3 linked regions of the Xenopus tropicalis genome follow. The protein of the gene in region 2 purifies or fractionates together with the protein of the main gene of each other region. This does not show direct contact. Links are inferred from orthologs where the notes say so. Each region holds a gene or a part of one and is shown on either strand. Other genes may lie near its edges.

The links.
Region 1: the proteins of strn (region 2) and cttnbp2nl purify together in Homo sapiens (affinity purification with mass spectrometry; 5 studies listed by BioGRID and IntAct, with this or other methods). This does not show direct contact. The link is inferred for Xenopus tropicalis from reciprocal best matches to the Homo sapiens genes STRN and CTTNBP2NL.
Region 3: the proteins of strn (region 2) and cttnbp2 purify together in Homo sapiens (affinity purification with mass spectrometry; 3 studies listed by BioGRID and IntAct, with this or other methods). This does not show direct contact. The link is inferred for Xenopus tropicalis from reciprocal best matches to the Homo sapiens genes STRN and CTTNBP2.

What each region holds. Positions count from the first base shown.
Region 1 is NC_030678.2:60,505,334-60,507,741, forward strand, and holds part of cttnbp2nl (CTTNBP2 N-terminal-like protein), read left to right. Parts: intron 1-1,908; coding exon 1,909-2,408. UniProt on the Homo sapiens protein: Regulates lamellipodial actin dynamics in a CTTN-dependent manner. Associates with core striatin-interacting phosphatase and kinase (STRIPAK) complex to form CTTNBP2NL-STRIPAK complexes.
Region 2 is NC_030681.2:49,995,853-49,999,612, reverse strand, and holds the start of strn (striatin), read right to left. Parts: upstream 2,385-3,760; 5' UTR 2,296-2,384; coding exon 2,026-2,295; intron 1-2,025. UniProt on the Homo sapiens protein: Calmodulin-binding scaffolding protein which is the center of the striatin-interacting phosphatase and kinase (STRIPAK) complexes.
Region 3 is NC_030679.2:68,649,591-68,653,350, reverse strand, and holds the start of cttnbp2 (cortactin-binding protein 2), read left to right. Parts: upstream 1-1,398; 5' UTR 1,399-1,478; coding exon 1,479-1,550; intron 1,551-3,760. UniProt on the Homo sapiens protein: Regulates the dendritic spine distribution of CTTN/cortactin in hippocampal neurons, and thus controls dendritic spinogenesis and dendritic spine maintenance.

The sequences.
Region 1 (2,408 bases), on a different chromosome or scaffold from region 2:
CAAGATTTAAGGGTCTAAATACCCTCTTCATGCACTACTTCTATAGTCCTCACTGATTACTAGTCGACAGCAATATAGTCCACCCCCCAACATACCCGATAAAAAGGGGCCCAACAGAATCAGGGTGCACTAGGTTTTTTCCCAGTGCCCTGTTGGGCCATTCCAACCTTGAATTCACAGTGCCCCAATATTCCAGTTTGGGTGCCATTGTGCACGTGCTGTTTGCTAATTACCAAGATTAGTTTAGCTGTGAACCGAAGGTACACAGCTAAACGTGGGGGACAATGCTGCCAATCATCTCTATAGTTTTGCTATGGGGGCACAGATAAGTTGTGGCATATGTCAGTGAAGTGATTAAAGAGGGGACACTGCTGCTAAAACTAAAGATTTGTCAGGGCGGCTTTACTTTTCCTTTAAATAAAAAATGTGTACAATATATTCGCTCAAAATGTTATTATTGACTCATTCAAGTCAATAATGTTATTATTGACTTGATTCATTGAGCTAAAAGTAGGATAATAATGCAAATGTGAGGTAAAAACTTTGTATATGTAACATTGTATAAATTGCACTTTTTGTTTAGTCAGTGTTTTACTTGTTTATAAAAATGTTAATGGGCTTGTTGCACCTATTGCTCTAGGGTTAGACACAAACTTGTCCTCTGACAATAGCCTGGTAACCACCATTAATATGCTGGTGACCCCCCCTCCCCAATGATGCCTCTACCAGAGGTGTGAAATGGAGACTGGGTGAAATAAAGCAAAACAGAAGAGCTTAGAAGTGATCTGAGTTACACAGCGCTTTACTCCATTGTGAAAATGTTGGAAAAAATGTTGTTAAAATGTAATATAAACGTCGTTTAAAAGACAAATTCCCAAAAGTGCCTTTAAACTGTCTTTCTTTCACCTAAAACTAAAAAGAGTCATAATATAGGCGGATTTCTGTTTGTGAATATGGAGAAAGTGTTTTACACCAGTTTTACCATCACTCTTGCTCCAAAAAAAGGCTATATCCATTTTTGTGAATTCCCCCCGATTTATATTAAAAGTTTAGAAATGTTAAAGTACATATGTAACCTAAGCATCATAGGGGTTGGGATTCATATTGATTATCCATGTCAACTATACACACACATTGCTACAGGTTTTGTAAATTTGCATAGAGCTTTGTATAATCAATACAACAGCAAACAGCATCCCAGAGTATCAATTCCACTCCACCCTTCCCTTGTTTCAACTTAAAGTGATGGATTTTGGAACTTAAAAGTCCATGACCTCTGCTTTACATGGTGGCCAGTTCACATATTCTCTAGGAAGCAGAGAGACTTCAAGTCCCAGAATCTACTAAGGAGGTCCCTGCCCATGGATCTTACAAGTTCAACTATTATTATATAACATAATACTACTTTTGTTTAACCCACTTCAGCAGTAAAATAGCTTCCTTTTAAGCAAACATGGAAATGACAAAGGAGCAGTATAAATAATGACTAAAGTACGCATGAACAGCTTGAATAATAACCATTAATGACAGGTCTGCCGAAAGCATGTCAGTTACTTCAGCTGACTTCAGCTGTGTTTTATTGACTATTGTAAATTTAAATAGGTGAAATTAGAAATAGGCAACAACTTCAATGAGATTTAATCAGTTAGGCTTTTTTTGATTCCAACCCTAAAATTAATCATGGTAATTTTAGTAGGTAAATGTGGAAATCAGAATTATCCAACCTAGAGAAAGATTGGATGAATGCAGTGTTTGATGCTGTACGTATATATGCTAATACAATGAAAAAGTATAGTATTCCTAGCCTAATCATATGTAGCCTTAGTTGTTCTTTAGAAAACTGTTATATTCCCACATATATTATATTCATACATTTATACATGTATTTTTATGCCTCTATATTTTCAGCTGGAATTTGAGAAGTCCCAAGTTAAGAAATTAGAAAAAGAACAGAAACGACTTTCCAGTCAGCTGGAGGAAGAGAAAGCCCGCCACAAGCAGCTGTCATCTGTGCTGATGAAAGAGTGTACAAAAGCCAACAACAGGGCAGTGGAAGAAGGACAGAGAGTAGATGATGTTAACCTAAAGCTGGAAAAGGTTAGGAGCAGAGTAAGTCAGCTAGAAGAAGAGCTATCTCTTGAAAAGAAACGAGGCTTGCAGATAGAAGCACAGGTGGAAAAGCAACTTTCAGAGTTTGATATTGAGAGAGAGCAACTGAAAGCCAAGTTAAATAGGGAAGAAAATCGCACAAAAACTTTGAAAGAAGAATTGGAGTCCTTAAAAAAGACATTGAAAGAGCTAAACACCACCCACCAAGTTTCAGTGCCTTCATGCAAGGTAACAAGTGAGCTGGTGTCTATTTGTGTATCAACAGAGAATGCTGACGTAGTATCTGTGTCATGCCAAAC
Region 2 (3,760 bases):
ATTTTAAAAAAATGTTGTTGTTTTTTGCCAGAACCAAAGTGCAAACCATAGAGTAATCAAAATGTATAAGCCATAACTACTTGGTTCACAAAACCGATATAATTGACAGGATCCTATAATTGACAGGATCATGTCAGTACTATTAGTAAATAAGGAAAGCTCTATTATTTTCATTTAATTCCCTTTAACACAGTCCCAGCCCAGTTGTAATTGCAGGTCTGATACTGACTTGAGAGCATAGAGTTGGTTGTGTCAGCAATGCTAGGGTTGGGGTGGTGAGATCCTTATGTAGGCTGGAGTACTGTTAACATTTGTACACGTAAAGACAGAGTGAACATAATGTATATGGATACCAGTGTAACAATGTATACATAAATGTAACATGCAGGAAAGTATTGGAATTCTTGTATTGTATGTCTGTTCTTCTCCTTTAAAAGTAAAATACTAGACCCCATCCAAGAGATATTTGTTAGTGGAAGTGAAAAATTATGTGTAGTGTCCATAAACTTTAACCCACATGCAGCAACAGCATGACTGATGATGGTTTTATTGTATACAAAGTCAATCTGAGGTGAAAGGGGTACATTATTTTTTTTAAAATTTTTTATAAATAAGATTTTGTGGATGTATGCATGCATGCAGTATGAGCCAATGGGCTGACGTGTCTACATATCTAGAAACTTCAGTAACCTCCATATGTAGGGCAAGAGCAAGTTCAAATTAGTTTGTGATCTGTTTCTGTGTAAACAGAAGCCAGCAGTGGGTCCATTCCATTTCCATTTGAAATATACCTAACGTAAGCTTACACATATGGCACACATGACATCACTGTGCACATCATACATGTGCTAAATACTGAATAGATGGTGTTTCAATAAAATGGAGGTCAACTTATGTGTGCCGACAGATAAAAGCATGTGTAAAATTACCCACATTGCTTAATGACAAAGAAGATTCCAAGCAACTTTCCAACACCTATTATTCACATTACAAAAATTATTTGCAAATGCAATTCCAGTCCAAAGCTACAGTTCTGATTCCTAGCCCTGAAACATTGTAGCAGATGCTAATTAGAAGATATGGGGGAGAACTGACTTCTGCGACATTGTTCCAAAAGTCAGAACCAGGGAACAGCAAGGGATAAACACAAACCGCTATTTTTTTTTTATTAATGAATATTAGGAAATGACTGTACTTTTGCTTTCACTGGGCAAAAAAACAGTTCATTGAGATCTTTCTTTACCCTTATGACTGTCAATATCTAACATCACAGAATGACAAATGAAGATATTGTAAATAAGTAATGATGATGTTCACAAGTCAGAACTGTAGAAGCTTACAAACACAGTTCAGGTGTTCCCATGATATAGAATGTCTGGGTGTGATCTCACACATACTGTACATGCCTGATACTGTACATGCCTGTGAGGGTCTCCTCCCACACATCATATTCCTCTCGTGTATAAATGGGAGCCCTGGTTTCCATGGCCAGTTGGGCTCACACACTCAGATATAAGGCTGCCTGCTCCTGGGCTCACAGCCTACACAGGCACACATAGCTCACACAGGCACATATGGCTCACACAGGCACATATGGCTCACACAGGCACATATAGCTCACACAGGCACATATAGCTCACACAGGCACATATAGCTCACACAGGCACATATAGCTCACACAGGCACACATAGCTCACACAGGCACATATAGCTCACACAGGCACATATAGCTCACACAGGCACATATAGCTCACACAGGCACACATAGCTCACACAGGCACACATAGCTCACACAGGCACACATAGCTCACACAGGCACACATAGCTCACACAGGCACATATAGCTCACACAGGCACACATAGCTCACACAGGCACACATAGCTCACACAGGCACATATAGCTCACACAGGCACACAGCTCACACATGCAGGCAAGCTCTCGCCAAACTCTTGTACGTTTCACATATGGGAATGTAGAGGTGAAAGTGACAGACGCCTGGGCTCAGTAGCAGCCCCCAGCCTTACCTGCATCTCGGCTCTTTCCACTTCCCACTGAGCTCTCTCCACCTCAAAGCGAGCCCACTCATGCTGAAGGAAGTGCAGGATGCCAGGGATACTGTACTGGGCCCTACCAGCCGTACCAGCGCTTCCTCCTCCGCCTCCCCCGGCCACTGAGGCCGCATCTGCTGCACCAGCCTCGAACCCTTTCCCGGCACCACCTGGGCCAGCACCAGCGGACAGCAGCGAATTGTTATTGTTATTGAAAAATACGCCGGGCCCCGCCTGCTCGTCCATGGCCGCCCTCCGTGGCAGGGGCCGCGGTTAACAGCGAGGGGCCGCCACCGATGGCTCCGGAGAGGGAAGAAGGGAAAGCGAGCGCGTCCACTCCGCAAGCAAGCGATAAGGTTTGATTATGGAACGGTCCTGTCACGTAACATACGTCCTGACCGCCGTCCAATCTCCCGCCCCTACATCCACCGCAACCCGGGCTCCGCTGCCGCCCACACTCGAAGGAAGCCAGGCTGTCGCTGCTGTCTGGGCGGGTCTCCTGCCACTCTGACAGCGGCTAGTGACGTCACGCAGCCCAAGCGTTCGGGACCGCCCTTCCAGTCGGGCTTCCTGTGAGAAGGGTTTTTTTTTTTTTTTCGGTCAGCTTTATTTCATAGTGACATATATGGCCGTGTTTTTTCAGTTCAAGCACCCAGAGATCATATCGTGAATGTGATAATGATCGGCCATGTTTTAGGCCATACCATTCAGTGTGAAGTGGAAAAAAATCTCAACCTAATGATAGTCAGGGTCCCCCTAGACTCATAACACGGGTATAGGAAAATGGCAGGTCAGCAGACATCAACTCCAAAGCTTTGCTACTGCCCAAGGAATAACTGAAAGAAGGGAGGAAGATAGTGTTGTGGTACTGCACTGGAAAGGACCAGTCCACAGGTAGTGTCAGACCAGTGTAAAAAGTAGGCAATTTTATTCACTGGGATGGGTAACACGTTGGCACCCCCATTCTCCTTTTATGAACTAGCAACATAAAAATATATCAAATTATTTGTTTAAATCAACACATCATGTACTATTTATATTTGTCTGAAGCAAAATATTCTAGCTTTTATTCCAGTGTTTGTGCTGTGTTTATACATCTTTACCTGTTGCCTAATGAAAGCCCCCTTACAACATATCTTGCTCAATGGAGTGTTAAGGTGGAGTGTTACATGGGCCCATCCCACACATTGTCCAGTTGATCAGACCATACACATACTATACATGAAATCGCCACCTTACTGTTGTTCTGGCTATCTGCTCCACTCATCTGCACATGTGCTGGGCACTAGCTCAAATGGTGCAACAGAAGATTACATTTTAACAACTGATGAACAAAGCAATATCTATAGTCAGCCATGTTTACTCCCCTTTATTTCTCAAAAGTCATCCTGATTTAACCCCCCCTCCCCCCGTCTGCAGTAAAGGTCGCCATACACTGTAAGATTCGATCTTTTGGCGAGGTAGCAAAGTGAGCAGATCTTTTCCCAATATGCCCACCTAAAAGTGGGCGATATTGGGCTAATTTGATCATTTGGCTTTCTCAGAGAAGTCATTAATATGTATTATGTGCATTTACATCAGACACAAGAAATTAAGTGTGATTTTGCTTAAAGAAACAGATAAACTGGGCGTCAAAAAAAGTGACACACAAAACCATTAGTTATATATGTTCTTGCTTGACTTTAAGGCTAGAATACATCAAAAATATAAG
Region 3 (3,760 bases), on a different chromosome or scaffold from region 2:
GGGGTTTTGGTGGAATTTCTCAATAAATTAGTCCAAAACACAACTTTTTAAGTTCAATCCTTCTGTATTTAGAGGAGTATAATTCACTGGTATATTCTTAATTTTTATATGATATGTCTCTGGGTTCAGAATACTGTAAATTGATGCTGTTCTCAGGGCACCATAAACAAGAAACAAATTGTTACTGCATAGTAAACTATGATTTTTTCATTAGTTAGGGTGGCCATACGTCATAAGATCCGCTCATTTGGCAAGGGCCAAACAATTAAATGATGGGAATCGACACCTTTATACTGGGTTTACTTCAATATTGGCATAATTGTAAAAACAATCAGCAGTATCAGAACACTCATCTTGCTCTCTAGTTATGGTTGTGCAGAACTAGGCCTCTACAGACAGCAGTCACAAGAAAAACAGGAGCTTCAGAGCCCCAAAGAAGATAATGCAGATAGAGAGAAGCAAGTTGATATCAAATCTAATTGACTGGAAATAATGTCTAATGAGTTTAATGCCATCAAACAAATTGTATGAACCAGAAATCGTTTGTTGCACAAACATAGGAACAAAAACATAGTCCTGTTCAGAATAGTTAATTGCCTATAAGGTAATTCCATGTACCAAACACTTACAAGATGATGCCTGCAGGACCCAGGCAGATAAATCAGTGCATAGGAGTATGGAGGGGACAGACTAGAAGAGGCACCTGTATACTGCTATCCTTTTCTGTTGCTGTATTTGTGACAGACAGGCAGGGAACTGAAATAAAGGCAGGTGTACAGGCAATGTACTGATTAATCATAAAGGGGGTTATGTAACAACAGACACACAATGTTCTCCAGCTCTTGTATCTTACAGTAGTTGCTATGGGTTACTGGAACTAGGGCAATCTTTGCACCTGCTTTCTGCGGGGTTGTATGTGAGTATAAAATCTCTTTTAGTGACACTGGTGTGGGAGTGATTTGTGTATGTGCACTTTAGTTTCTATATCAGTTTCATACAACGAGTAGGCTGACGTTGGGTTTTATTGCCTGGCTGTCCAATATGAGGACCAAAGGGCTGACACGGTCCTCAAAGCGGTTCGGCCCCTAGCTTGCCCACACTGACTTTGGATTAAAGTTTATGACGTGGGTTGTATTTAAAACTATGTTTTATTTGCCAGACTACCTGCCCGCTAACTGGAGTAAAGTTAAGTAGCCGTGTTCTGCTGCATTTAGTCGTGACAATATGAATTAAAGCGATTACTATGGATACTGGGAACTGCAGTATTGTATTATTGAGGGTCACGTGTGCTGGCAGTCCGCTAAAGCAGGAATGTGCAGGTGAACTGAGAGTTAACTCTTGGCGGGCTGGAGTAGGAGGAGTAAGTGTGCTTCTGACGGGCAGGCAGAGGGTTAAGTGTGGGCTTACTGGTGGGGGCTGTCCTCTCGGCTGCTCTCCTCTTCCCTGGCTCCTCTCACTCAGTCCTCAGCAGCTGGAAGATGGCGACGGTGGAGGGGAGTGAGGAAGAGCAGGCTGAGCCTTTCTGCACTGCCCAAGGGGACACGGATAACGTAAGCGCCTCATTGTACTGCAGTTACTCCATGCAAGTGCTGCCCCGGCAGTGGGATCAGGGGGAGCGATGTGCTTTTAGCTCTGAGTCTTAGGAGCTGTCACTGGTTTATTAGAGCGATATTGATTCCTGCTTCTGGCGTACAATTTTCTGGCTTTAGTAAGAAACAGAGAGGTGCATTCGAGGGCTGCACAAATGGGGTTCGCAGCTGATTGCAGGGATAATATATGGGGACGTGTATTGGTTAAGCCTGATTCTTGCAGGGATAATATATGGGGACGTGTATTGGTTAAGCCTGATTCTTGTGCTGTATAATGCGAGCGTGCCTAGGGATTTATGTAATAAAATGTGTCAAGTGATGGTTATATGGTTCCGCCTCCCAATTGCACTTCCTAGGAATGGTGGGAAGCCGCTTGGATCTGCGCCTCCTTTCCAGTGCTTGCGATTAGCTTTGTCGCATAGGTTTTGTCTAACTGCGCTCCTCTAATTGTGTGCACTGCTGTTGAATAGGAGATTTGAAAATTCTATGAGAAGGCTGGCTCTCAGTGTATGTAACATCAGCTGTGCAGGGGAGCTGTGTCTCTATGCTGACTATCATAGACGTCTATAAATAATAGAAGACTAAGCAGCTTGAGCACAGGGATTCGCTTGTTATGATCAATATTGTATTAGCTGTATGACGACAGTGGGTTTTATTTCAATTAGTAATGTTACGTGTGTAATTTATTACCCTGTTTTCATAAGGGATATCCCAGAAAGATGGTAGGACATGGGGATTCAGTCTGCAGTTAAGTCCCCTCCACAGGGCAGACTCCCTGTACCAGAGCCCCACCATAATAGTAAGCCCAGAGTGTTATTGGGGGGGGGGGGGGCAGCATCTTTTGATAACCCCCAAATATGGAAGAGAGTAGGATATCTCTAGCAGCCTGTCTACTGCTGCTTACTTTACACACTATCCTAACCTAGAGCTCAGGGAGAAACTAAAATATTAATCTTAAAATATTACCCTTTCATAGACCCCAGGATTCTCAAGAAAGACTAGGAATAAGATTTTTTTGGATCCTTCTTTCTCAAAAGGGATTAGGAATAAAGGCTTGTTCCCTGCAGGTAAATGTTGTAGCTGGATGCTTAACAAGTTGCACATTATTAGTGACAATAAACTGGCCACCTAAGTAGCTGGTAAGGGAGCCAAAGAAAAAGACACACAGTTTGTAGATTTTGTGGCTTTTTTCCATTTTTTGCCCATTTGCCATATGAAAGATAAATTACTAGATTCCCCCTCAACTATGGATTGGTTATTCCACCAAAATTACTGCATTACAAATGATTACTCTCTGCACAATTGTCCATATATCCTTGCATTAGGACACGGTGCAATATAATGTGTTATACTGCCTATGCTATTTCCCAGCTCAGTGGAAAAATGCTCACTATTGCTGCTGCAAAGATGTACATGGGTATTTCCCTTACCCTGATGGTGTGATTGTTGGTGGGGCCATTAATGTCTGTCAGTCAACCTTTTTAGAGCAATAATTACTTGACTTGTGATCACACCAGTAGGGCAATGGTGTTTACCCTGAAAGTCTATGAAGCTGCAATTACAAGGGGGGTTGTGAGCATTTTGCAACCCTTCTTCCTGGAAATAGTCCTGGGTGCCTTTTAAATTTCCATTATATATATCAAACATTATTTATAATTTTAAATTAATTTGAATACAGAAACAATATATCAGAAAGCAGGTCCTCTCTAATCATAACTCAATTTCCCACTATTCCTTGTTCAATTCTGTTACTCTTGGAGTACTGGTTTGAGAAGAATTGACTGATGATACAATGTTGCAATGGTATGCCCAGCCAGGAAAAGGAGAGAAAGAACCTACTCTAAGTTGGAATTACATGTACACATATCTTTAAAACCATCGTTTTAATTGTTTATATTAATGTAAATTGTTTAGTTGGTTAGAATTTCACTTTTCTTTTATGCAAAAAAAAGTTTATGGGTGGACATTTTGAATAGATGTGCAAAGCTTATATTTCTTGTGCTTTAAAATAGTTTAACAGTTTAAGAATTATTATTTATGCCAACTACTTTTATAATACCAGCATTACTTGCTACTAAGTATATTATATTACAAACACGTATTAAAGGAGAAGGAAAATTAAAAACTAAGTAAGCTTTATCAAAAAGGTCTATGTAAATACAGCCATAAGC